Schizosaccharomyces pombe: one gene and its partner. The protein of the gene in region 1 interacts with the protein of each later gene in a biochemical or structural test. Each region holds a gene or a part of one and is shown on either strand. Other genes may lie near its edges. The genes, in order: mex67 and mlo3.

Region 1 (12,377 bases):
GTGCCGTATACCTCCTTTTATAAGATAAGATCCTCGGATATTGCAGAGAAACACCAACGACTCCTACGATTATAGGATCCTTCCGCACCATTTTAGTGCCCCAGTGTGGGAACTTAATAGATACAACAGAGATAACGATAAGGTGAACAAATATGAAATGCATCTAAACGTTAAACGACATACAGCATGTGCATTGTTAATACCCGTGGAGAAGACAGAGCAAAGAACACTAGGATTTTTTCTTTTATCCACGGCACAATCAACTATGATATTTCACATTACAGCCATAATAGTGACAAAATAGAAATGAACGTAGCTTGTTAAACCCATTGAGTATCCTGTCCGACAAACAAGCTGTCCCTATAACACTAAAAAATGGAAGAAATTTCGATAATTCAAAATTAAGTAAACAGCAGGTTTTTAAAACCCACGAATACAACCAAAATTTACACAAGACAGACAAATACAACCAACACATAACATGAATAATATTAAAATGAATTAAAAAACATTAATGAGTCATACAAAAAATTTAAAACTTATACTACAAAGCAAAAAGCTATCTGAACTACCGACCCACAGAAAAAGTATCAATATGACTATTCCTGTAAGGGCACTAAGATGTCCAATATGGCTCTGGCCCACGTATGACGCTCAAACCATTCCATGGAAAAAGAAAAAGAAAAGTGAGCAACACGAATTGTGGGCGTCGGTATATAACCGCACGATAGGGAAACTTCAACTTAACAAACTCACGTTTATAGACCTTTGTGACTGTTTTTTAAACCCTACCCTTTTAAGTAATTTGTTTGCTGCATTTTCAGGTTATTATCCTATTGAGGTTACGATAATGTCAAGGAAAGTATAAAACAAGTGCTGTTCAAAATAAATAAATGAAAATAAAATAACACTTTTTTAATCGATTTCTGTAGAAATTTAGTCCTTTCATTTTTTAAGTTGACCCTTCATTGTTATACAACAATTAATTATTCTATACGTATATATTATATATATTGTCTACATCAATAACTGAGCAGAATTGAGCATTATACTGGATAGAAAATAAAAAAAATAAGCAGGCATTTTTTCACAAGTAAGTACATATTTTTATGATATGAATTGATAAAGGTGCAGGCGATCATATTGTTAGTTAATAATAAAAAATTGTAAATAGTAATTTTGCTTCTCCATTAAAATGAATACATAAATTTAGTAGATAATCGATTTAAACAAAAAATAGATATCCAAGCCAAAAAAAAAATAAAAAAAACCAAAAAATGTTTATTTTTTTTGGCTCATGAAACCCAGATTTATCAAAAACTTACGTTGCTTAGTGCTCAATCTCTTTAAACATGCAATAAAACAAGAATTAGCGGGACACATATATTGATATATTGCTTAAGGAATTAGTGTTCGGAAGTCTTACTGACTAAACTGTTCTTTACTTCAAAATTTACTCCTGAATTTTCATGTTAATGGAGGTCGAATTTTAGGTGGTCGATTGAGTTATATCAATAGTGATTTTACAAAAAAACAGTAAACGATTTTATATTAGCCTCATATAAATTTTTTTGAATTTCAATAAAATAAACTAAAACAAAAAATGTATTTCCACAAATTCCATCGATACAAGCATAGCAAAAGACGAATAACGCATTTAACAGTTTCTCGTTATATCACAAATAGTCTAACTGTTTAACGCAGTTTTGCGCGTACACATCTCTACTCCTTATACTTGTCCTATTACTATTGAAGTTAAAAATGTTGAATTAAATTCCACTTACTCTCTTTCTCTTCACACTTACTACTCAACATAATTGCAAAATGTTGCGTAGAAAGCGGGAGCGTCGTAATGCTGTTAAAGAGAATGAAATGGTAATTGATACACCATTGGAGAAACGCCGTACACCAGGCAAACCTCGTGCCACGCGTGAACCCCCGATATCCGTAGTTATTACTGGTCATTCCAAGGGTTCTGAGGACGACTTAATAAGCTTTGTTTGGAGAAAAGTCAAGGTTCGTCTAATGAACATTTCATATTCTCCGGCTTCGGTCACTGCCGTAGTTAAAAGCCAAGACTTTAGTCGTTTGAACGGGTTAAATGGTGCGGCTTTTGCTGGTGATCATTTGGCTATACGAAGGGTCGATGGAGCTTCTAACGTTACTCAAGATTATAGAAAAGCAAAGACAAAACGATCATTTCGTTCTGTTTCAGCTCCTTCATTATCTGCATTAGCAACACAAGCCCAGAGAAATGTTTCAAAAACGTTACCACAATCCACAAATGAGACCATTGAAAAGTTACGCCAGTTTTTGCAAACCCGTTATCAACCTGCTACTAAATTCTTGGACCTCGGAAATTTGCAACAAGATCCTCTTTTAAAGCAAATGGGGATTTTAGCAGAGGCTTCTACTAAGAGTAAGATGTTTCCAGCGTTAATGAAGGTTGCTTCTTTAAACTTTCCAGACGTTATATCAGTTAGTTTGTCGGATAACAACTTACAATCGGTGACTGCCGTAACCACTTTAGCACAAACATGGCCTAAACTTTTAAACCTTAGTCTTGCTAATAACCGGATTACTTCTTTATCTGACTTGGATCCATGGTCCCCCAAAACAAAGCTTCCCGAACTCCAAGAGCTTGTTCTTGTCGGAAACCCGATTGTCACAACCTTTGCTAATCGTGCTATGGATTATCAACGGGAAATGGTTTCGCGTTTTCCGAAGCTTCGTCTTTTAGATGGTAACAGCATAAATTCAGAGATTATCGCCTCTCAATCTACCGTCCCTTTTCCGGTTTATCAATCTTTCTTTGATAAGGTTGAAACCGAACAAATAGTCAATTCTTTTTTGGCTGCGTTCTTTAAAGGTTGGGATGAGAATAGAAGTGCACTTGTCAATCAATTATACAGTCCAAATGCTACCTTCTCAATCTCTCTGAACGCTTCAAACGTTAGAACGAACTTTTCTCAGAAAACAGACACTAAAAAATGGGGAGCTTACAAAATGAAAAGCAGAAATCTACTTTACTCACAATCACAGAAGGAGTCGAAATCTCGTTTATTTAACGGGCACGAAGAAATAAGCAACGCTGTAAAATCCTTACCTGCTACGGCTCACGATTTATCAGACCGTTCGCAATGGGTTTTTGATGGTTGGAACCTGGTTCTGCCTTCGGTTGGTGCAGCCATCAAAATTGTTGTCCATGGGCAATTTGAGGAACCACAAAACAAACGACTTCTACGAAGTTTTGATCGAACTTTGCTGATTTTGCCGGGAGGTTCCACAGGCATATTGATTATAAATGATTTATTAGTCATTCGTTCATTTGCTGGATCGCTCGGGTGGCTACCTGGTCAAAGCAGTGTACGAACAAGCAATAATGCCATGTCTGCGTCTGCTTCAAAGCCTAGTGATATTGTACAGCCAAGACCGGAACAAGCAATGTTAGACACTAGACAACAAATTGTATTAAAAATTAAGGCGGAGACAGGTTTAAATGATTACTATGCTCACATGTGTTGTGAGCAAAATAATTGGGATTACAACAGCGCTCTAGCATCTTTTTTGGAATTAAAGTCGCGAAATGTTATACCAGCCGAAGCATTTTCATGAACTTCTAGTGACGTGTATAGATAGATATGGTTAAAAAATTACAAACTGGGGAAATGGAAACTTTTATTTAATAATGGTACATATTGATGAAATGAATAAGTTAGATTTATACATAGTCGTTCGTGATCATTCTATAAAAGTATTATGGCGGTAATTAAATATAAGAAAGAACAATGGTAAAAGTAAGAGCCAAATATCCTTTTAATCCAAAACAACACTAACTTGATCTTCATCTTCAAGTTCCGTGCTTTGCACTTGATCGTTGGGATCTAACCATTCACCTTCAAATTCTAATCTAATGCGTTCATGAAAACTAATCTTTACTTCAGTACAATATCTCTTAATCAAATCTTTAACAGTGAAATCGACGGGTATTGAGAGACGAAGATCCTCACTCTTACTCGAACGCAAAAGCAACGTTATAAGTTTACACGTTTGAGCAGTTGAATCTTCAGTTACCGAGGATAACTTTTCCACTTCCAATTCTTTTATTCTTTTGAGTGATATAAAATCCGAGTGACAGTAGGCATGCACAACCAAACGGGTATCGACTTTAAGCATACCAGCGCCCTTTGGGGTTCCATAATCCCATAATCTTTGATTTTGAAATACAAGAACAACGTTATCTACTTTTTTTCTTTCAGAGTACGCTATTCTGACACGACGAAACTGTTGGTTCGACTTAACTTTGAAAAATAACGGTGCCTCCCAGTCCCGGGGAAGAGAGATATTGCTGTTTGGAATTCTCTGTCCAATTACGGCTAACTGGAGAACGACGGAAATAACTGGTTCATTTGTTGAGAATTCCGATTTGGAGTGATACAGCGTTGAGTGGTCACTTTTTGAATGCTTTAAAAGGGGCACATCAGCCGAAGTATTGTCATCGTCTTCTTCAATTTCTCTCTTATGCGTGTGAATTTGTACATCCATATCACTTGATGATTTTTCAAACTCCTGAACTTGCCGATCAATTTCCTCTAACCTACGAGCAAAGTCATCGTCCAGCAGTGATGAAGTCGTAGAAAGCGCAGCCTCACTATTAATGCTGTTGTTTCGCAAGTTAGCGGCCGCCCTAGTATTATAAACTGGTGAAACCGGTTGTGTTACACAGGAGATAGCACTTTTGGGTGAGTGCCTACCTTCATTCAAACACGCATTAGGAGTAGTGTCTGAAACGTCTTGGTTGCCTTCATCAGCATCTAAAATAGTGGATTGACGAGATAAAGGTTCGGCACTTTTGTTTTCATTATGAGTTATATTTTTCTGTGCATTTATGTGTTCTAATGCTTGTTTATTGGTATCAAGTTCACTTTCCTCTTCTAGAATGTTGTAAGCAAGCTGACACTTTGCAATCGGAATTAAAACTTACCAGAATCTGAGGAAGAGGCTATTAATTGCTTGGCATAGTTTAATGGAGGCTTTTTAATAGGCTTTGAGAAGAATGCTAAGTCATCTTCATCTAGGTTGTCCATTTGGCGAGTTTTAGCAATTACGGTGGTTCCACAAAGCTTCTTATGGATTTAACGAGAATTTGTAGCGACACACCTTAAACTAGGTAATTTTTAGCTTAGTTTTGTTTTCACTCAAGTTTATTACAAATCGATTTTGAAAGTTATATAATAATTTTATAATTCAATTGAAAAAGTTCAATGAACATTCCTCCAACTCATCTTCGAAATGAAGTTTGTTTACTTACGCAAAACCCGATCTTGTCCACTTAGCAAACAGATTTAAGTCTATAGAATTTCATTTTTTAGGTTAAGTAATTTGAAAACTCTTTGCTTCTTGTACTGAGACATTAGGTTTGATGAATTTCAATGACATTGGCTCACCTTACGACGGCTACATTGCGTCCGTCCATTACTGCCATTCATAATTTGTTCTTCATTCGCTAAATAAATTTTATTTAGTTCAGATAAAACCAAATTGTTGTACTATTAGAGATACAATGAATAGGTTTAATCAGCCGATATTCCTATATTCAGTAGTAGACTATTCAGGTACAAGATATAATACTAAACAATAATATGTAAACAAAATCGAATATTATCAAGTTAGTCCCCGTTACTTTATATTGATCATTAGAAAAACTTTACACTATACTGTATTGGTAAGTGAGAGATAATTTTAAAAAATTGAAGAGTATCTTTTTAAGATTATATAATGAATTAAGCTATATGATCGCAATCAATAAGATTATGAAGTACGTTACACTATGCTAGATTTATGAAAGTGTTTACTACCAACACAAGCTTAGGTTTTGCAAGCACAAGAAGGGCAGTCACAGCTTAAGCAAACGGTAAGGATCACCACACTAAGAGTTCCGCCTTTACCAAGTCAAAATGCCTGCTCAGGGACACAGATTGTACGTTAAAGCTAAACATCTCTCTTTTCAAAGAAGCAAACATGTTATCCACCCAGGAACTTCTTTGGTAAAGATTGAGGGATGTGATTCTAAGGAAGAAGCCCAATTTTACCTAGGCAAGCGTATTTGCTTCGTCTACAAAAGCAACAAGCCCGTTCGTGGATCCAAGATTCGTGTCATTTGGGGGTAAGTTTATTTTTGTAATTAAATTCTTGCGTTTCTTTGGAGAATATGAAGAAACGTTAATGCTATATTTTCACGGTCGTTTTTTGTTGGCTAAACGAATACATTCAAAACCTTTACTAATTACGTTTTAGAACTGTTAGTCGTCCTCATGGAAATTCTGGTGTTGTTCGTGCTCGTTTCACCCATAATCTTCCTCCCAAGACCTTTGGTGCCTCTCTCCGTGTCATGCTTTATCCCTCCAATGTTTAAATAAAATATTTTTATGTTCACAACAATTCTTCTGCTTCTTAGATTTATTTTATTTAGGGAATCCCATTTTATCGAAAGCCTCGTTTGTTATACAAAGTAATCAATGCTTTTGGTATTATTTACTCACTAGGAATTTGTAATTGGTACATTAAAACACAATTATTAATTTAAGTTTAATCAATATTGATGTTAAATAACAAAAGCTGTAAATTTGTATAGGTAACTTTTGAGAATCGTTTCACGAAGTATCATTTCAGTCGTCTGTTCTTAGGGTGTTGATGGGCAACACTGCATCAATTACTTAGGTATTGTAAATTCACTAGTTTGGCGTCTAACCTTTAGTACTGAATACTACCTTGTTTATGCAGGTAGTTCGATCGAATACTGTCGAGCATGTTTATAATCGGCTGTCGATCATACAAATCAAAAGCAAATCAATTATTAACCCCAACTATAATTATTTAAAAATAGTATAAAATAATAGCAAAATTATTATCAACGAAACAAAATCATCAAGCATTCTTTGTGAGAAAAAAAGGAGCGCAAGAAATAGTCCTAAATTGTAAAGATAAAACACATAGACGCTATTCAATTTAAACTCTTCCAACCTTGAGCCAAAAACGACTGTTTATAAGGTCTAAAAGCTTTTGAATTGTCAAGATCATCACTTAATACATAGCCCATACTTCGGGCTTGGATACTTCGACTATGTTCGTCTGCCTTTTTCAACATTTGGATCCATCTATTTTTCCGATCGACAAACGAAGAGGGTGAGGCTTCAAAGGAGGATTCTGAGCTAAGACTTGACGAAGGAGAATGATTTGTGAATATAGGAGAAGAATCAATATTTAATGGTAAACTTCCTGAGTGAATTTCCATAGCATCCACTTTGCTAGTAAAATCTTCATTTTCCTCGTCGCTCGGAATCGTGGTTGACATTTCAAGTGAATCGCCCGATTTGTTATTATTTATGTTGTTTGTGTCAAAATCGAATTCAAGTTCTTCATCAGATCTGAAAGTTAAAGTAGATAGATTTTCTATATCGTTTAACGAATCCGAAGACGCTTCATAGTCTGGGTTGTCAAGTTTGAACTGTTTGGAATACTGCATTGGCTGGTTAAAATACTTGCCGGGCTTGTCCGAAAAGGCAACTTGATATTCATCAGTAAAAGCAACATGCTTTTTTGGCTTCGATTTTCGACGTTGAGTAGACCGACTTTCGTCGATCATGGCATGGTCAGCATCAATGGCATCACTCGACTCCTTTGGTGATGCGATATTGCTATCATATATGGTTTTCACTTCCTTCTCTAGTGATTTCTCAATTGTCGAAGCATCTTCTAACAATTTAGTTTCGTAGGCTTCATAGTTGAGTTGCTGATTACGCATAAACGCAAGTAGTGATAAACGATTTGTTGATCTCTTTGACAACAAAAGTTCTTCGACTGTACGCTTAATTTCCTTGTTTACTAGTGAAGAAAATGAAGCCCGTATTTCATCTTCCCGAGGTTCAGCTCGCGCTTTAATTATGTCCATTCGAATGCCCAATTCTGAAATAGGAAAAGATGCTCTTACAGAAGAAAGAGAAATAGCTGAATCGTATATGTAAACTTTCACGTTTTCTTCTTGAAATAATTTCTGCGGTTCCTCGGATATTTCAATATTTCCCTGCACAGCAAGAATACATAAGTTGCAGCCTCGACAAGCAACAGCTGAACAATTTTCAGCTTTGCATATTTGCAATAAACTATAAATTTTCTATTGAATTAGTTATATTTGATTTCATTAAGGTTAGCGTACAATTTTTATGAGATCACGAGGAACAAATATCCATTGATGTTTGGTTTCATTAGGAATTCCTAAAACACGTATATTGAGACATTCACAACTTATTCCATCGCCAAATGGCGATTGCAATTGCATTAAATCTACTATGAAGATTTCGTCAACGCTCGAATCGCGTTGCTCAGTGAGATCGGCGTTGGCAAGAATTAGGTACGCCGTTGTCGATGTAATATAATTGATACAGTATTGTGCTATACTACATGCTTAATAACGCCGAAAAATCTAATTCTTGATAATTTATTTATAAATTTTATTAAATTCATATTATAATTTTTTCTTCATGAGAGAAGTCAAAGCCTTCACATACATAGGAACCTTTTCTAACTGACAGGTATTCATAGGCTTTGTGTGCTGTTTAATAAGTTCAATTTCAGTAGAAAATTTTCTCTTTAATTTTTCATTCTGTGTCATTACAACTAAGGTGGATTCAAGGTCCAACTGTTGAGACCTACTCGTATAATTGGAAGACCCAATCGTCGTTAAAAAAGGATGCTTGTGATGTTGTGTACTCAACCAAAATCCTAAAATAGTGTTAGTGAATTTTTCAAAGATATATGACTTAAGTGCCGTGCTCCAAAAAATATTTATAATGGAAAACGACAGACTGTAGTGTTTACCTTTAGCATGATATGTATTCCCCTTATTTTGCCATTGTAAGACATCAATATTTCTTTTCTTCTTTCTTGAATCTTTAAGAAATTGTTCAGCAATATACTGATACGCTGGTGGAATTAATTTCGATGGTCCAGGAGATCGATAAAATCCATTAGCCTGTTGAGAAGCCACGATTACTTCCCCTATACCTTCAGATTTCAACAACTGTTTTCTAAGTGCTGGATAAACATTAAAATAGCCAGCCGTTAAGGTCCAATTAACCTCCTTGCGCGATAGCAAGGTCCCGATTATAGACAAGACCTTTTCTTCAGTAGAATGTACGTCAGAAGTAAGGATAGGTACACATTGAAAAAGTGGGTATACGATAGCAGATTCTTCATATTTATGAAATGGCTTATTGTTGTCATCACCTGCTTGATTAATTAATTCAGAGCCATATACTGATGATAACGGTTTAGAAGGGTTGCGAGACAAGAATTTCTCTCGATTCCCCTGAAGAAGTTGTTGAATTTTAGCAGAAGCTGCTACCCGAAACTCTTGAGGATTTGTTAAAGGATTTGGACATGAATTGTTCCATTTCAAAGTAAAAGGAATAACCGGGGACGTAGAAGATAGTTGAATTGAGGAATCGGATAAATGAGGGATACACTCAAAAGAAAGCTGTGAAAACAAAAAATGCGTTTTAAAGAAAAAGTCCGCTAAACCCTTATCACTAAACAAATAATACCGGTCTTTTCGATTTGTAAAGTAATCTCTCGAAAGATTGGCTCTATTCGTTAGTATAGTAAATAATCATTTGCCTTTACCCGCTGATAATGAGGTTATCATCTGCACCATATATTTTCATATGCTGCAATCCCCATCCCTCATTAAATCTGTGTGGAACCAATTGCTTTCTTAGTCCACGCAAATTCGGTGTATGGTAAAGCTTGATTTCGCATCTATCAGGAAACTTCTTTTTCAATTGCATTAATAGAGATGCAGAGCAACAACCAGGGCTTTCCCTAGTACACCGCAATTGATCTGCCAGAATGTGAACATGCAAAGAGGGATTGTTGCTTAGCGCATTTGATAGACAATTGATCAATTCTCGCTCTTCTTTTCCAATGTATAGCGTTGATAGAAATATTCTTTTTTGAGCTTTTTTGATTAATTTTTTCAAGCGTTGATAAAACTCAGGAGGTTCATGAATGATATCAATATCATCAACGTTAACATAGAATTTGGGACACACACCGTCAATCTGAGATTCCAAGTTGACAAATATGTTTTTCTCTATTCCTTCATCCATTAGGCTGTTTAAATTGGTGTGCTAGGTTAGTGTGAGATACATTGAGCTTGCAAACCCGTTCATGCAGTAGAAAGGTCAATATCCAACGGTAATTTGAACGTGAAATATAGAGAAAAATGGTATAAAAGCAGAACTTCCATGTTATATTAAAAATAAAAAGTATCAAATTGACTCTAACTTACTTAACAAAAAATAATATACCGATCACGAAATATACACATTTAAAGTAATTTATAGCAAAATTTTTTCTATTTAATTAAAAGAGTAATGAAAATTAAATGATTAATTAGTTCAAAATTTATTTAAGTCCATAAAGATAAATTTCGTTTGTCCTGAATGAGCATATCCAAACCCGCTTCTTATCTTGTTCTGCAAGGGTGACAAGTTTCTTTTGCAGTCTCTGCATATATTCCCTTTGAGAAGCTGGGCAACTTTCTATTAAACGTTTCCAAGACTCCTCATCAAGCGTAGTGGTACTACGAAGTTTTTCCATAGCTTCTGAGTCGCAATCCACTGCTAAAGCAATAGCATCTTCTGAGCTTTCACGAATGGCTGACTGCACTAGATCATAAACTTTATTCATAGCATTTTGTTTGTGTTTCCATTTATACTTTCTATCATTAACGTCTTTAAGCGAGATCAACTGTACGTCGAGGTTGGATTGAGAGGTGTCAACGAACTTTGCAACATCTTGTTGAGCTGAGTCTAATATACGTTTCGACTGTAACATGCTTTCGTTTCTTTTTCTTTCATTAATTTCTCCCAGCAACCACATCCCAACTTCATCAAAGCGTATTTCGTCATCTTCATTTTTTAAAATATTTCGAGCCTTGACTGAATGTTCCATCTGGGTATTTTTCTGACGCACGACGAGAACCCAATTAATGCCTTCACTTCGATAGTGTGTTACAATCTCTTCTAAACTGCTAGCACCCCTTAAAACTATATCCGCTTGGATATTTAAAGCCCAAAGCTCTTGCAAAAGTGAGCATTTTTCTAGGATTGAATCCTTGCCAATACTAGTAACTAAGACATCAACTCTCCTTGGTGCCCAAGGGCCTACAGACTTTAAAGTTGGTGAAGGAGAATGCTTGCTTGACTGCTTACTATTGTGAAATCGAATATATCGCAGCATTGAAAATACTAGTTTTTCAAGGGCAAAACATATTCCAACAACATGCTTTTTTCTGGCAGTTCTCATTAGAGGAGGATCGAAAAAGCGTACAAGCTTGTCATAACGACCACCAGCACAAATGAGTTCAGATTTTTCCGCCAAGTTAATTGCTTGAAACATCAAACCTCCATCGTAAAACTCAAAGTTATAAACACATAAAGGCATGAAGTATAACTGATGAGAAATTTTTAGTGCTCGAAGTAATTTAACCACTCGCTCCATATAATTTAAAGCAGTTCTCATTTTCTGTGGCATTTCCTTCCCAAAAATTTTTCTAAGTTTGCTAGCACCTTCTTCATAATTTTCCCGAAAATCAAACAAACTCAGATCGTCTAAGGTGGTAGAGGGAACTAATGACTCAATACGAAGCTGGTTCCGTACCTGTGATAATGTTAAGCGTTGGTTGATTTGTCCAAGTATATGAGTAGCCATGCGTCTTTTATCCTTTGATACTTGTAAATAATCAAGAATGGAGGAAAGAATGTCAGCGTGATTAATTAAGATACAACTTTCTGTCAAGGATGGTATCTCTGTTAATACTTCGTCTAATGCTTTGATTGTTTCTGCATCATACCAATCCAAATTATCAGAATTCGTGGTAATGTCAAATGAAATTTCCTTTATAGCCTTTGGTCTCCCTCCACCTTTGGCTTCCCGAAAAACGTCAGAAATTAAGTACGTCTTTTCTTCTTCCACAGCGTTTCTAGCAACATTTCTCGCGTAAGGAAGAACCGTATCATATGGAAGCTGTAAAAGGGTACCATTTTTATCTAGTAGGGAAACAGAAGCTTGGTCTTTATCGTATTGAGAAGACTTTGGGAATAGAATATGTGACTCACGTTCCTTGGCTCCATGGCGACGAAATACTTTAACTACATGATCACGTACTAAACAAGCTAACAAACTATCCCATCCTCTATCCGACACTTTCGACAACACTCCACTTTCTTCACTAAGGTTGAAGTCGTAAGTAAAGTCTTTATGACGATCGGGCACTTGGCCGAATAAAACTTTCAGAAGCTTTAAATAATAAGGAG
Region 2 (16,339 bases), 660 kb from region 1:
TATGGGGATACTACCGGTGGAGCTTGATTTACTTTGAGTATGGTGGTGTGGTGTGCGGTTAAAAATGAAAAACGCGGGGTGTGGGTTAGCTAAATACTCGAGGAGGGGAGTGATCTCCGGGCGGTACGTTTCGTATATATATATGCTGTTACGTATTCGAGTGCAGTTGCGATATGGTAAAATTGGAGAAAAGGGAGGGGTAAAAGGAGCACGAGGAAGGGATCCACTTTGTAATTCAGAATAACGCAGTCGATAGAGAAATATGGTGGCGCTTGCTGGTAGGAGGGGAAGGAGATGGGCGAGGTGGAAAGGCGGAGCGCTCGAAAGGATGAAGGTTAACGAGAGAAGTCTAAAAAGTAACTTAACGAGGGCAATGGTGATGGGGGGTTAAAGGAAGGATAGAGAGGGTGGGGAGGTGTGGGGTAAGGAGAAGATAGCGAAGGAGAGGGAGGAGGAAGGAGGAAGGGGAGAGGTAAGAAAACAAGGTGAAGCAAAGTTAGACGAGAGAAGAGGAGAAGAGGAGAAGAGAAGAAGAGGAGAAGAGAAGAAGAGAAGAGGTATAGACAAGAGGAATACCAGAGGTGAACAGCATATGAAATATAAGTGTTGGTGTTGGTATTTGTTTGTTTGTTTGTTTTTTAAATATGTATAGGTGGTAGAATTTAGTGAATTTTTCTTGTTGGTGTGTATTGTTTTGATGGTTAAAGTTGTGGTTATGATTATAGTGATAATGTAAAGATGAATTGAATATTCTTGTAAAGATGAATTGGGTAATTATTTTGATGATTGTGCATATTTTACAATCTTGAATCCATTTTCGAAGTCTTTTTATTTGAATTTTATATTGTCGCTTTATCTCGTCTCTCTATTTCCTCCTACTGCATTTTTTCTCTCTCTCTCTCTCGACCGTGCTTGTACTGCGACTCGTAATTCTCATTTATCGCATCGCAACGCATCCCCATTCGAGACTTTTGGCGATTTGGCTTTTTTAGCCCTAATGTGTCCGCTTTTTCTTGTCAACGTCATCTTCTGATTCCTCCGGGAGTCAAATTTATTAAGCTGCGGAGAGTCCCTAAACTGGACAAACTCGTCCAAGCCAGAACTTGTTGAAAAGGGTCGATATGAGCGGCGATGACGAGCGTAGCATCCTTGTTTATTTATCTAGAAAACTCAACCTCGACACCAAAGGTGGAGGTCACCGAATGGCGGCATTTACTAAGGAAACCATAAAACAAGAAATTCCTTAATCAAGCAATAACATAACCGTCTTTTCCTCTTCCCTATGCAAACCCCCTCCTTCTCTCCCCCCCAGTGTTTAGCCCAAGGCGTCAAGTGGGGGAACCCCAAGTGCTGTGAAACACAGTCTCTTGGTCAAATGTTAAACATTCATAAGGCATTGTAGCGTATACAGAGAAATGGACTGTTAAATGATTTTGCTTGTGTAATACATTGCAGTGCAGTGCAGTGAAGCGTAGAGTAGAATAGACTATGCTACAGTAGGAAGAAAATACCCCTTATTTGGTAGTAGTAATCAATACTGTAGTAGTAAAAACTACAGTAGTGAGAGTATAAGAGTGAAGTGAGAATTTAAGAGAAGTGAACATTTAAGAGAAGTGAGAATTTAAGAGTGAAGCAAAAAGTATAAGTGTATATCTAGCACACTCAGTATTGATTCAAATCATATAGGATCATTGTGTTATTACTAGCTACAATGGACGAGATATGATGATGGTATGGGATAAAATACGATGGAATACTACTATCGTTGCTGTTGCTGTGACAGATTCCTCCGTCGCTACATCGGCAGCAAAAAAAAAATTGTTTTTTTCTTTCATCCCTCAAACCTTTACCACCCCAATTGGAGCATCATTAGTGGGAAAGAAATTTTTTTAATTTCTTCATTCGACTGCAAAGAAGGCAGCAGCAATATTCATGATGTGACAGGTTGAAGAAATTAAAAAAGGAGACAGAAAATGAGAAAAATAAAAAAAAAGAGAAAAAGAAAAAAAAAAAGAAAAAATTTAATTTATCATTTATTATGATTATTCTTTTTTTTTTTTGATTTTATTATTTTATTATTTTTTCATTTCATAATTTAGTTTTTATTTCACAGTTCAGTATTTATTTTTTATTTCGTAGTCTAGTTTTTATTTTATCATTTGTTCTTCATGTGTATTGCCTACTCTTTTTGTCTTTTTGTCTTTTTTCTTTTTCTTTTTCTTGTTTGTTTATTTTTTTGCTTCTTCGGCCATTGCCATCCCTAACACTCCTTTTTCTTCCTATTACAACAGTGTCGCTTTCTCGACCTCTCTACCTCACCGCACTGCTCCTTCCGCACCTCCTTTGCCACAACTCTGCATCCGTCTATTGCCTTGCACTCTCTCTTGCCTGCTCCTTTCAACTTGTTAGCGCTTGGGGTGATTTTCTTTTTCCAATAGATTCATTAACAATTTCTAACATAGTACCGTAAACGACCTTTTCAAGAATCGCTCTGCACCTCCTTCTTTCAATAGATCAATGTAAAATAAAACAAACATAACCTATGATAATTTCCTCTCCCTTTTCTTATTAGCGATCTTCCTTTCTCCACCGTATTCTCCAATAAATGAAATGATTTTCAAACAGCAGGAACCAATCTTTTGCTACAGATGTTTACCTAGAACTAGTAAGACAAGACAATCCACGTAGTCTCATATCGACTCCTTCTATTTCACTATCGTATTCACCGTTTCATTCAACCACTCTCTTCCAAATCTTTAACGATCACTCCCTGCATTCCCTTCCTTCTTCCTTCCTCCTCCTTTCACCCCACTATTCCCCTCAACCACTCCACTCTTCCTCGCTCTTTTTTCTTATTCTCTCTCTCTCTCTTTCATTATCCCATTTAACGATTTCCTCCATTTCCCTCCTTCCACTCTCCACTCAACAAGGTTTGTCTCCCTCTCATGTGCTCCGTTAATGCTCATTCTGGCTCCGACGGCTTTTTGCCTATATACATCAACAAACTTTGCTTGCGTTTTCTCCTTCCTTCCTCCCCATTTCCTCTCTTCCTTTTATTTTTTAATTTCACGCGTTTTCTTCTCTACACTCTTAATTGTTCTTTTGCGCGCCCTTGATTTCGCGCCTTCTTCTTTTCTAGCATCGTTTGTTTTTGTTTTGGCTTTGCTTTGTTATTTTGTTTCCCTTTCCTTTTACTGTGCCTTCACTCTCCTCTTTTAATTTCGTTTTCTCTCTCTCATTTTCCTGAGTATTCATGCTGTCATTGGTTTCCTAATTTTTCATTGGTTTGTTTGTTTACGTTTTCTTCTTTCGCTGCTACAATTGTATTTATGCGCGCATCTTTTTATTTATTTACTCAAGTACATATAGTTATATATATATATATATATATAAAGCATCTGCCTTGCTTTCTTTCTACGGCTTCCCCCCCAACTGCCAATACACTCTTCACTCAGTGCTTTGGTTAGCCCTTATTCAAAAAAGTTTGCGTACTGTATACTGTCTTGAGACTTGAACAACTTTTTTTTTTTTTTTTTTTTTTTTTTCAGCTTACATTTTGTAGTCTGTTTTTCTTTTTCTTTTACTTTTTAATCCTTTTTTTTTTCTTTTTCTCTCTCTCTCTCTCTCTCTGTTTTTTCATTCATCTAATCGCTCATCCCTACTTATCCTTTTATAATTACAAACCCGATTTCTTTACTCGCTCTTCATCTCCCCTTTTTTTTCAGTTTTTGTTGTTTACTGTTATTTTTTACTTTTTTTTTCGTTTCACTCCAAATTGTCTCGAAAAGCTAATTGTTGAATTTTTTTTTCTCAACTTGCTGAAGTAAACATTACCTCCCTTTTTAATCTTTGATTTCTATTTATACATCTTTTCTTATACGACAAAGACATCCACCAGTTGATTTTCTCTTGTCTCTTTAATTTCTTTTTTCCGTCTACTTTTCGTCTATCATACTCAGTTCTTGTTTATTCTCTCCTCTTTAATTGCTCCTTCCATTTCATTTCACTTTCTACTCGATTTTTACTTCTCAAGTTGTTTCTTTATTTAGATAACTTTCAAATTCTCCTCTTTACATACTTATTGTTTGTCTTGCTACGTTTAACTTATTTTTCTTTGATTTTTTTCCTGCTTGTCCCATTGTTTGTTTACCTCGCTCCCAATTTTCCTCACCGGCAATTGCTAATTAAAATCCATAAAGTTATCTAACCGATCTATTACGTTAGATATCTTAATTTGGGTTTAACTTTCTTGCTGAATAATCTTCAACGCTACGCTATTTTTCAGTGCTTAACAAAGTGAAATTTTTTATTCCTAAAAAATTCTCTTTCCTAAGTTGCAAGCATTTTCAACTGCGTTACCAGCTTTTCAGAACCTGCGCACAACCAACCACCGTAAAATTTAGTTTGGAGGGTTCAATCCTATTTTTTTCCTTCTATATTAGCAGTTTTTTTGCAGAAGTCGAGCTTTTTACTAAGCCTCGTCTATTTGCCAGCGAAACAAGCATTCCTTGGTCGGGTTTTGCTAGAAGTGAGTGTTAATAAGTCTTTTTCCTGTCTCTTGGGTAAATTTCTTATTGTTGAGCATTCTTTATCTCTTTTTCATTTTTTTTTATCGTTCTTCCTTTGTATTCTTCTTTCCTTGAAAGGAGTACTCAAGAAATCGATTACAAAACTCGAAAAAGACTTGATTAGGTAGAATAGCAAAGGAGTTAAAAATTTTTTTTTTAATTCTTCAATTTGCTTTCCTTTTCGAAATTCTTCAGCAATGTCGTTTCCTTATCAGCACACTTCACGTTCTCAAGTTCAGCCTCCTTTGGCTGCCCCCGGCTTGAGTATGTTTGCTCCTGTTTCGTCCAGCAATAGTGCAAACTCTGCTTCTTCGGTTGCTGCTTTGTTGAGTCATGCTCCTATGTATGGTCTTGGCCAGCGTCGTCCGTCCTTCTTACCTGGCGTTTCTGTGCCCGATACGCTTTCGGTAAGGTCGGGCTTCTCCATCCCTTCCTCCTCTCATCATCCTTCCGCTGTTCCTTCCCTTCTGTCGCAGCACCGTTTACAGCAACCTCAACCACGTCTCTACCCTTCTGCGCCTCTAAACTATTACTGGCCATCTTATCAGTCGGTTCCATCTGCCGCACCTCCACCACCCTCCCAGCAACGCTATATGCCTGACTCTGCCGTTGCCTATAATCCTAACCAAGATCAATTTGGCAATTCGGTGAATGTATCAGCTGCATGTAACAACGTTTCCGCCCCTTTGATTGCTAACAATTGTGCTCCTTCCTTTTATCAGTCTCGACATCCCGTAGCAGATGTGCCTGTAACCAACAATACCGCCACTACTACCTCCGAGACTGATAATACAATCCCAGGTAATCTTAACATGCCTTCGGTTGCTAACGTTCAACAACGTATTTCTCCTGTCTGCAAAACTAACATGGAGGATCAGGAAGAAACCGTTTATACCGGAGGTGTTGCTGCTAAACTGGATTACAAGATGGATCAAATGGTGGAATACTTGTCTATCATGACTTGTAAGTTGTATGCTCGTTTCCTGAATAATGCTCAAATGCATTCTCTTGCTAACTCTTTACCTGGTCTTGTGTTTTCTTTCCGTAAGGTCGTTACACAAATTTTGACGTCTACGCGTTTACCTCGTGCCTCTTGCTTGCTTGCCTTGTCATACCTTTCCGATCGTCTTGACGCCGCATCTCAAACGACTGATTTTGTAAACCAGTGGACTAAGGAGTCGTTATTCTTCCAAATATGTGCTCTTTTAACGACCGCCTTGATTTTGGCTAATAAGTTTTTGGATGACAATACGTTTACCAATCAATCCTGGTCGCAAGTTACTGGTTTCCGTACTGCCTTGTTGAACAGCTTTGAACAAGACTGGCTAGCTAGCATGTCCTGGAATCTTAGTCCCGGTCCTCGTGGTCAAAAGGCATGGGAGTGGTGGAGTGCTTCTTATTCTTTGTTTACTTCCTCAAACGCTACATACTCTGGTGAACAAAAAACTTATAGCCCTACTACGTTGAGCACCAACGCACCACCATCGCCCTCTTCTGGACGTTCTTGCTCTAATTGCAACTACTATTATCCCTATACACCCGTGGGATATTATCCAGTGTACAATCGCTATGCAATGACTTAGTGATCGTGCTTACTTTCTGCGGGTGTTGTTGCTTGACGGGGTTTGTTTTTCGTTTCCTTGCGCTTATAAACACTTTACGTGTTTTTGTTATTCTTGTAACTTTTTTCTCTTTTCATATTGTATGACGGGAACTTTTGTTTAACCCGTCATATTGTATTCTCTAATCATCTCCGTGATGAATTCGGCTCTCTTGAAATTAATTTGCCGTTTGATCTTGCTTTTCTACTTTCTTATTTTTTCAAATTTTAACAGAGAAAAAAAAAATTTCCCAAAAAAAATTGAAAAGTAGTATACCGAAAAAAAGGAACCAACTTCTTATCAGTATCTGTTTTATTTTTGTCGTTGGACTTTTATTTTGCTTTCTCGTGTGGCTTTGTTATCTATTGGAATATCTTTTGATGCAATTCTGATTTGTTAATACTGCTTGATGTATATACATCCGCTACTACTATAGGGATCGCGGATTTCCTTTTTAAAGTTCGCCTTCAAAAATTAGTAGTCTACTTATACAACTAGCTTCATCAAGAAATACATTGTGAATAGATGAAAAGGCCCATGGATGCTTTGAGTTTATTTTTCTGTTTCATTAGCAAAGATTTTACTTCGGGCATCGTTTTTGTCCTTATTTTGTTTATTTTTTCTCCTTTTGATACTTAAATGAGAAACCTTTGCTTGCTGTTTTCTAAGGATTAAGCATAAAATTTTTTATTGCGATTTTCCAACTCCCAAACTGTTTGTTATGATTACCTAGTTTTATTGCGCATTCGTCGTATGTCTACTAGTGAGATAACGGATTTATATAATCTCTTATACTTGATTCTGTTGCACTGAATCGTGCTTTTTAATTCTGAATTATGTTGTCTTTGAATGTTTTCCGTGTTTCTAAAAATTGCATAATCGTTATTCTTCTGTCTAGATTCTGCATTGTTAAGCTACCAAGAAGCGGCGAAGCGTTTGCATCTATCTAATCGTGTAGGCATCATATCAAACGTTTGGTATTATGGTTACAAAAATTGCTTTCCAAAAAAACAATAAATTCTGTTTTATCAATAATCTCTCAACTTTTATAAGTGAACGCGTCCATCCTAGTTCTGATGCCAATAAAGTGTAAAGTAAGTTTAATTTGTAATATTATTTTTTTGTCAAATTTCTGAAGACTTTAAAGTAAGCGTTCAACATCGCTAAATATATTTAGGAATCTACAAAATAATAATTTTAAATATCGACACCTTGTGTACTACCCTTACCTAGATCCTGATCAGTTGTAAACCCCACCCGCCACTTTACCACCTAACAACAACTAACTACCCAACAGTAACTCGATAAAAATGTCTATGGAATTAGATCAGTCCTTGGACGCCATAATTGCTTCAAAGCCTAAAGGAGGTATTAGAAAGCGTCGTGCGCGCTCTAACAAGCCAAAGCCAACAAAGAACGCGAAACCCGCAGTGAACACTGCCTCTGCCCTTAAATCCGTCATTTCTGAGGAATCTAAAATTATTGTTTCTAACTTACCTACTGACGTTACCGAGGCTCAAGTTAAGGAGCTTTTTGTGAAATCCATAGGACCTTGCAAACGCGTTTCCTTGGCTTACGGTCCCAACGGTCGTTCGAAAGGTATTGCAACTATCATTTTTTCTCGTCCTGGTGATGCCACTCGAGCTTATGAACAGTATGAGGGTCGTTTGGTTGATGGCACTAGAAAAATGAAGGTTGAGATAATCCTTGATCCTAGTCGTCAATTGAATTCTTTGGCTGCACGTGTAAGTCCTGCCAGCAACGCTAGCGCCACTGCTAGCAAGAATGGCGCCAAATCTTCCAAGCGGAAGACTACACGCCGCCGTAGAACTCCTAATCGTCCTAAAAAATCCGCCGAAGAGCTCGACAAGGAGATGGATGATTATTTTGGATCAAATGAGAAGGAGTAACTTTAATAATTTGAAGATTCTACTATATATACATATATTTTGAAGATGTCAAATGCTTCTTGGTATTAATAACGACCTATACAACATACTCCCTCAGTTAAATAATATTGGCAATATAATGCTGTTTCGAATGGCAGTTCTTGAAGTTGTTTTTGTGTTTTGGGTCTTTCGTAATGGATTTGGAGAAGTGAGCTGAACCAGTTCTTGTTAGTATATATGGTGTGTATTGGGTCATATTGCCATTATGCCATTATTTCAAAGAATTTCATTAAATTTTTTATTTATATCTCTTTTTTGATAGACATATATGTTTCATTGACATCGAACGAATTTGGTTACTTATTTCTTTTTCGGTGGTTAACGTTGGGTTGGAGGTTTTGACTTTTGCTAACTTTTGACATATCTGTTGATTTGTAGTATGCAAGCTTAAACGCTACCAAGAAGCTAAGCTTTGAGTCGAGTTCATTATTAGCATATCTGTTCACCTGTTATGTTTGCAACTTTATCAGCTCTTGTGCAGAAATCCTTTATGGTTGATAAGCGCTCCCTTCTTGTTTAATACAAAAGCAAAACCTATGTAGACAGTGGTTAAAAGAGGTGGATAATGGTAGCTTCGGCTACTGTTACTTTATTTAATCTAAGTTACTGTACAAGGCAGCTGTTTTGATCATCATGTTGCTAAACTATACTGGGTTGAGCTTACCGACAGGGTTTATTATTGCATGTTTGCTGAAAGTCAAAGCTTCCATACCCCAACTTGACTGTGTTTATTATGTTCATGATGGTTTTTGGTTCACGTCACACTTATTCCAAGTCTTGTTTTACTATATGTGGCACGGCTTGTTTGGATGAGGAATTTCTATTCGTAAAATCATCGCGTTCGATGGCTCTATTTCATCTTTGTCAAATTGTACATGACAGAACTGGCTTCATTCCTTCCTTTGTATGTAAACCACATTTATAGAACTTTTCCACGATTGCATTTTAAACTCGCTGATTGATGAATTACGCGCAATGCATTCTTTTGAAACTTTTAAACCCTAGTCACTTCCATTCCCGTTTTTTTTGCTTCCGACGTTTATTATTATTTGTAAATTATTGTTATGGTTGAATTGCCGACCGTATCTCGAAATTTGTTTTGGTAAACATTGCTTGGTTTTATGTTCGAACCATTGTCACATCAAACAATTTAAATTGAAGTCCCACACATATATTTTTGGCACTTATAATTTTGATTTTTTTGAAAGATCTGTACGATCCGTCGTGATTGTGTTACAAACCAAAAATCGCTTTCAGAATGCGCATTTGCGGGTTGCTAATTTTAGTGCGCGATTCTTGCCGTCCTCTGAAACCGATTGAAACATTGAAATTGTTAAAACAGTACTTTACGTTCGTACCTTAAACCAGTAGTATCTGAACGGTGGTTAACGACATTTGTATTGCAGATAAAGAGAAAGATTATTATTCACTTGCTACACATGGTTTATACGAAAGTTTTAGATTTTAATATCTGATTACAATTTCTCGTCGATATTTAGACTCCTTGTGGAACTCGTATATGTACGTAAGTGTTATTTAATAGATATCTGAATCTGTGCCGGGTGAGAATTGCAATACCTATATAAACAAGCAGCCTTTACGAATTTTTTGGCAGCTTCATTTTGGTAATGAGATTTAGTGAAACTAATATCGGTTATAAAGTGTATAGTTATATTGTTACGTCAAAGAGCACGAGACTAAGGGAGGCAGGTTAAACGTAAATGCTACCAACTTTGAACTTAGAAGTTATACGTTGTACAACCACTTTCCTGCATTTATGGAATATTATACCTCGAAGGAGGTAGCAGAATGGTTGAAAAGTATCGGATTGGAGAAGTATATCGAACAATTTTCACAAAATAACATTGAAGGACGACACCTAAATCATTTAACCTTGCCTTTACTGAAAGACCTAGGCATTGAAAACACCGCCAAAGGCAAACAATTTTTAAAACAAAGAGACTATTTACGAGAGTTTCCACGTCCATGTATACTGAGGTTTATTGCCTGTAACGGGCAAACTCGAGCAGTTCAATCACGAGGAGATTACCAGAAAACACTCGCTATTGCTTTGAAAAAGTTTAGCCTTGAAGATGCTTCAAAATTCATTGTATGCGTTTCACAGAGTAGTCGAATTAAGCTGATTACTGAAGAAGAATTTAAACAAATTTGTTTTAATTCATCTTCACCGGAACGCGACAGGTTAATTATTGTGCCAAAAGAAAAGCCTTGTCCATCGTTTGAAGACCTCCGCCGTTCTTGGGAGATTGAATTGGCTCAACCGGCAGCATTATCATCACAGTCCTCCCTTTCTCCTAAACTTTCCTCTGTTCTTCCCACGAGCACTCAGAAACGAAGTGTCCGCTCAAATAATGCGAAACCATTTGAATCCTACCAGCGACCTCCTAGCGAGCTTATTAATTCTAGAATTTCCGATTTTTTCCCCGATCATCAACCAAAGCTACTGGAAAAAACAATATCAAACTCTCTTCGTAGAAACCTTAGCATACGTACGTCTCAAGGGCACAATCTTGGTAATTTTGGTCAAGAAATTTTGCCAAGAAGCTCTCGGCGGGCTCGCCCTTCCGAATTGGTTTGTCCTCTTTCCTCTCTGAGGATTTCTGTTGCTGAAGATGTTAACCGACTTCCTAGGATTGATAGGGGATTTGATCCTCCACTTACTGTATCTTCTACTCAGCGTATTTCTAGACCACCATCGCTTCAAAAATCCATAACCATGGTTGGTGTGGAACCTTTATACCAGTCCAACGGAAATGAAAAATCGTCGAAGTATAATGTTTTTTCAGAAAGCGCGCATGGCAACCATCAAGTACTTTCCTTTTCACCTGGTTCATCCCCATCATTTATTGAGCAACCATCCCCAATTTCTCCAACTTCCACTACAAGTGAGGACACAAATACACTTGAAGAGGACACTGATGATCAGTCTATCAAATGGATACGTGGTGCGTTAATAGGTTCAGGATCGTTTGGACAAGTTTATCTCGGTATGAATGCATCTAGTGGTGAGTTGATGGCTGTTAAGCAAGTGATCTTAGATTCTGTTTCTGAATCAAAAGACCGCCATGCCAAACTTTTAGATGCATTAGCGGGTGAAATTGCTCTTCTACAGGAGTTGTCTCATGAGCATATTGTCCAATATCTCGGTTCTAACTTAAATTCGGACCACTTGAACATTTTTTTGGAATATGTTCCTGGGGGGTCGGTTGCCGGATTGCTTACAATGTATGGAAGCTTTGAGGAAACGCTAGTCAAGAACTTTATTAAGCAAACCCTTAAAGGCTTAGAATACCTTCATTCACGCGGCATTGTACACCGTGATATAAAAGGTGCGAACATCTTGGTTGATAATAAAGGGAAGATTAAAATTTCGGACTTTGGGATATCGAAGAAACTTGAACTAAATAGTACCTCTACGAAGACGGGTGGTGCTCGCCCTTCTTTTCAAGGCTCTTCTTTTTGGATGGCTCCCGAAGTGGTGAAGCAAACTATGCATACGGAGAAAACAGATATTTGGTCTTTGGGATGTTTGGTAATCGAGATGCTCACTAGTAAGCACCCTTATCCGAATTGTGATCAAATGCAGGCCATTTTCAGAATTGGGGAGAACATTCTGCCGGAATTCCCTTCTAACATTTCTTCATCGGCCATAGATTTCCTTGAGAAAACGTTTGCCATAGATTGTAATCTTAGACCTACAGCATCAGAGTTGTTGAGCCACCCGTTCGTTTCATAAGCCGGCTAAGTTATGATGAAAACAGAAACATTATTTTACGATCTATCTTTTTTATGTTTTTTTGCATCATTATCATTGCATTTATGCCATTTAGAACTAATGAATTTATTTAACCTATAAACCGTATGATTTAAGTTGCTATATTTTTCTACAATATTCATGTTTTTAATGATTTTGTGAATGTCCTTGATAAATACCATTATGAGTTTAGTTACTAAAAAAATACTATTTTACATGTTCAGTTTGTTTAAAAAATATCCATTGATTATTCCTTTTCAAGAAAAAACTTTTTATTTTTATTTACTTTGTGAAAACGATAACATAAATATATAATAACACATATCTACGGGAATTCTATCACTTAAACAAGTAAAACTCAAAAACGTATGTATGCATTAGTCGTAGAGAAGGGGATTTTTTGTTCACTCCTTGAGGAGAAAAGATTAGGTATAGTAGATATAAAATAAATTGTCTACTATCCAACATAGCCTTCCTTATTTCCATCTGTAAATGGAATAAGACTGCTGACGAAAAAACGAGCCAAACGGGTATCTTTGGAATTGGTTGTTATATTTACGTTAAATCCAGGTAAAGAGTGCGGATACATCTCATAAACAGCTTCAATTTGGGGAAATAAAGGCATGACTTCACTTGGTAAACCAAAAGATATGTTTCCTGTTTGATCTCCGCTTGTAGGACTCAGGCCCTTGAAATCATGAAGCTGAGGAAGAACCAACTCAGATAAGATTGAAAGAAATGTATACATAGATTCTCCAGTTAGAGTAACCTTTACACCTACTGGCACACCTGAACGAAGTTTCCAGGGAGAAACGTCCTTACGTGCATAGACTATTTCGGGCTGCAAACCCGTTATAGAACGAAATGCCATCATTGTACTCAAGAGCTGCGTTTTGTCAACGAGTGCTTCTTTATGCATAGTGCTGACGACAACTTTGCTAATAGAAGGAAGGTTTTTAGGATTAACGGACTCCTTTACTGGTAACAGAGGCTTATTACCACGCATTTTCTGAGGAGGCCGGTTTTTATAATAAGGGTTATCACCAATCCACCTTGGAAGTCTGTCTTTCTGTGTATGTTCATCTGTGCTTAACGCTGTATCTATGTCATGTCGATATGAAGCAGCTAATACATCCGGTAAAATGGTATCATGCAAGTGTTCTTGTAAGCGATTTAACATGGTGGGTCCTGGACGAAAATACTCAGAATTTGGATCCCATCCTGGTAGGGGCCTATTCTTGCCCAGTTTTTGCTTTACAGTGATGGTTCTTCGCTGCAGAAAGTTAACTGATATTCTGATATTTTTTCTTATCCCAAGCATTGTTAAAAATTAAAAAATGAATTAAAACAAGTATAATGACAAAGAGAAACCAAAAGCGACAAAAATACAACAGGTTACTTTCTAGGGAATTTTCGTGAAAATCCTTTTGCTTTATAAGCAGATGAGCACTTGTGTTATAATTTACCAATAAATTATAGTAAATAACACAAATCCGGGAAAAAATATTTATAATCACGAAACAAGGAAATTGTAAAGACCAATGTCCACAAATGATACCTGTTTCTCAAATCTTCAAAGGAAGGTTTTAACAAATGGTTATGGATAAAACAGGTAAGTCTCGCAACCAAAACAATTTTGCAATGGATCTTAGGTACTAGGGCTGGAAGATTGCTCGCGTTTGTCTAGTGTATTGTCATGGTTAGTGTACCGTATTACCTAGTGCCAAGTAAGGAAATCCGAGGCATCGTTATAATCATATGCCACACGATTTTGAGTGCCAAGTGTAATAGAAAGTATTGTACTTGTAACTTACAAACTTATTTAAACAAGTTAGCTTTAAAGCTTTAAGCTGATGTCTTTCTGTTTTTTTTTATACGTCGAAAAACAAATGTTTTTCCTTCAGCTGGTACATAAAAAAGCAGCTAATTGCTCTTCTTTTACAAGATGATTTTATTTTTGTATTTCTCAAAATCGTGCCAAATGGCATGCCACACATATTCAAATTATTGGAAAGTATTATTACTAACTGGCTCTACAAACTATTTGGATAGGATAGTGATGCATGTCATAAGATCACTTTCATGCAATAACAATACTAATCCAATTCGTTCTTTTGTATTCACTTTGTTCTTGTTCGTTTTTTACCTTCTTTCCTTTCAATATAGATGTGTGATGATGAATGAGAGATGCAAGAAGCTTAGCTCAAACACAATCCTGAAAGAGTAAAGTACTCAACATAAAATAATGCATTTATACATTTCGTACCTTTATCAATCTATTATGCAACAATAAAAGCATTTTATCCAAAAGAAAACAAGTTGTCTTAATACTTGAAAAGATCAATAGATTTACTTTTAGTTTGGTTTTCTAAAAAGAGAATCACACTTGATAAGAAATTGATTGCCTCGAATAACTCAAAACTAAATTATCTTAAACAACAGATACCGCCAGTGTATACTCAAAAATCATAGATATATGTTTCGAATTCGTAACACTTTAATGAAAAACCAAGCATTTCATAGGAAAGACAAATTTACACTTTAGTTTTGTGTCCAGGCATTACGATAACGTCTGGTAAAGACATAAAAAGAGGTATAAGATCTGGCACTTGAGAATCGCCAGTCATTACAATTTGGATACAGAACAAGCTCTAGAAACTCAAGATAGTGCAGTAAATGTTTATAAAGAGCATTTCTGCTTAGAATCACAAAACAAATTGCACTGAGTAACCAAATATTGAATATTCACTGTCCAAGCTCATATGCTTATTATCAATCAATTGGCAAGCTGAGGATATCCAACAAGTCAGATAACTTCATAATTCGAGGCTAAAGATTCTATTTAAAGAATTCAACGCAGTCCTATGTAAACAATTAACCCATTCTATGATATATATTGTAACATTGGGAAGCGCCTTAATTGCTTGTGTTTAGGTCAAACCAGAACAGCGCTATGATAACTAAACAACGTTTTATTTTCCCATCGACCATATTTTAATTTAAGTGTCGTGAATACCCGTACACTTTAGGCCATTTGATGACTATTCATACTTATATAAAAGTCAAAGCCTTTCTTTAGGCAAGTGAAGAACCATTTCTAATTCGTAAGCACAGTGTATAAACAAAGAAATCCGTGATACATTATTTTGGGTTATTTCACTTCGTGAGAAATAAAGCAAGAAATTTGTTCGTTGTTGGCAGCAAAGTTAATTGACTGCTTCTAACAAACTTCAGAATTTTTAATGAAACATTACAATCAACAATACAGTTTAATTATTGCTGATGTTAACCATTTTCTTTAATAGCTCAGACAAAACCAAATGTTCCGGAGGTTCCGTAGCAGGCGTAGAAAATGTGTTTAAAGCAGGGCTTCTCAATGGGCGGAATAAAACACGTTCACCTTGTAAATGTCCGTTTTGCGGAGATCCGTTCAAGTGTGTCTCACAAGAACTGAGATTCCCAGACACTAAAGGATAAGAACTAGTACTTTCACTAAATGGTGTGCTAGTCCTACTAAAACCAGAATCGACAGCTCTAGGACTCTCATTTGAAAACGTGCGTTGTTGTAATGAATGAACAGAGCACCCGGTAGTTTGAGCAGGTATAGGTTGAACAGGTCCAACGAGGCTATCCACCATCCTCCCAAATTGCAGACTTGCAATACTAGATGACTGATTAGCTATGGATGGTGTTCCAGATAAAAAAGGAGATGTAGGAGAAGATTGAGCAGATGGAAAAGAAGATGAGGACATTAGTGAATAATTCGATAATCCCATTCCAGTAAAAGCCTGTCCGCTAAATGGAGATCTGTGGGGTGTTGGAGGCGAAGAAAAAGATGTGCTATTTGGTGTACTTTTCGCTCGCATATTCAGTAACACATACAAAGAATCTAACGCAATTGTTATCAGTGCGTCAGAATCATCAACTTGGGGACCTTTACCTTCCTCATTAAAAGGATAATGATTTGAAAAGTAAAGCCACTGTAAAGTATCACGAGGAACTCCACAAACCTTAACAAGAGGGAAAAAGAATAGCAGGCCGATACTTTTAGAAGAACAGCGTACAAGAACAGAGTCGTCGGGAGCTGTTTGATTTGTGTTCTCCAAAAAGAAGCTTAAACGATTGAATATCTGTGAAAGTCCAGTTCGAATATCTTTAGTAAGCCAGACGTCCCCATTTTGCAAACACGAAGAAGTCAAAACACACAAAGGTAGAAGCATTGGCATAAGTACAGCATTTGAAGACAGAGATCCATATTGACGACGTTCGACTAGATCATCAAAATTACCGTCCTTCTTACTCGACACACCAGAGGTAAGAGCTTGTAAAGGAAGCTGGCTATTCACTGAATCAGAAAGGACTTCAAAAAACATAGTTGTAGTTTGTGTAGCAAGCTTTAAATTCGGATACGACTCACCGTGTTCTCCAGAATCACTAAAGCCAATA

The links.
Region 2: the proteins of mex67 (region 1) and mlo3 form a complex in vitro, tested with the Schizosaccharomyces pombe proteins (one study listed by BioGRID).

The regions. Positions count from the first base shown.
Region 1 is NC_003423.3:2,399,542-2,411,918, reverse strand, and holds mex67 (nucleoporin Mex67), read left to right. Parts: upstream 1-1,797; 5' UTR 1,798-1,824; coding exon 1,825-3,615; 3' UTR 3,616-3,767; downstream 3,768-12,377. Other genes in the region: SPOM_SPBC1921.04C (uncharacterized protein), read left to right, coding at 515-868; DNA repair protein, SUMO-related Rad60, read right to left, coding at 3,817-4,934, 4,985-5,087; rpl35A02 (60S ribosomal protein eL33), read left to right, coding at 5,958-6,166, 6,298-6,415; toc1 (Tor complex Tor2-interacting protein 1), read right to left, coding at 7,004-8,173, 8,216-8,338; pgs1 (CDP-diacylglycerol--glycerol-3-phosphate 3-phosphatidyltransferase), read right to left, coding at 8,525-8,781, 8,878-9,644, 9,682-10,166; eIF2 alpha kinase Gcn2, read right to left, coding at 10,465-12,377. UniProt on the Schizosaccharomyces pombe protein: Involved in the export of mRNA from the nucleus to the cytoplasm.
Region 2 is NC_003423.3:1,735,853-1,752,191, reverse strand, and holds mlo3 (RNA-binding protein Mlo3), read left to right. Parts: upstream 1-7,443; 5' UTR 7,444-7,479; coding exon 7,480-8,079; 3' UTR 8,080-8,224; downstream 8,225-16,339. Other genes in the region: cyclin Clg1, read left to right, coding at 4,766-6,151; MAP kinase kinase kinase Byr2, read left to right, coding at 9,896-11,875; mrpl7 (mitochondrial 54S ribosomal protein uL5m), read right to left, coding at 12,351-13,214; ebs1 (EST1 family protein), read right to left, coding at 15,163-16,339. UniProt on the Schizosaccharomyces pombe protein: Has a role in the mRNA export process. Interferes with mitotic chromosome segregation when overexpressed.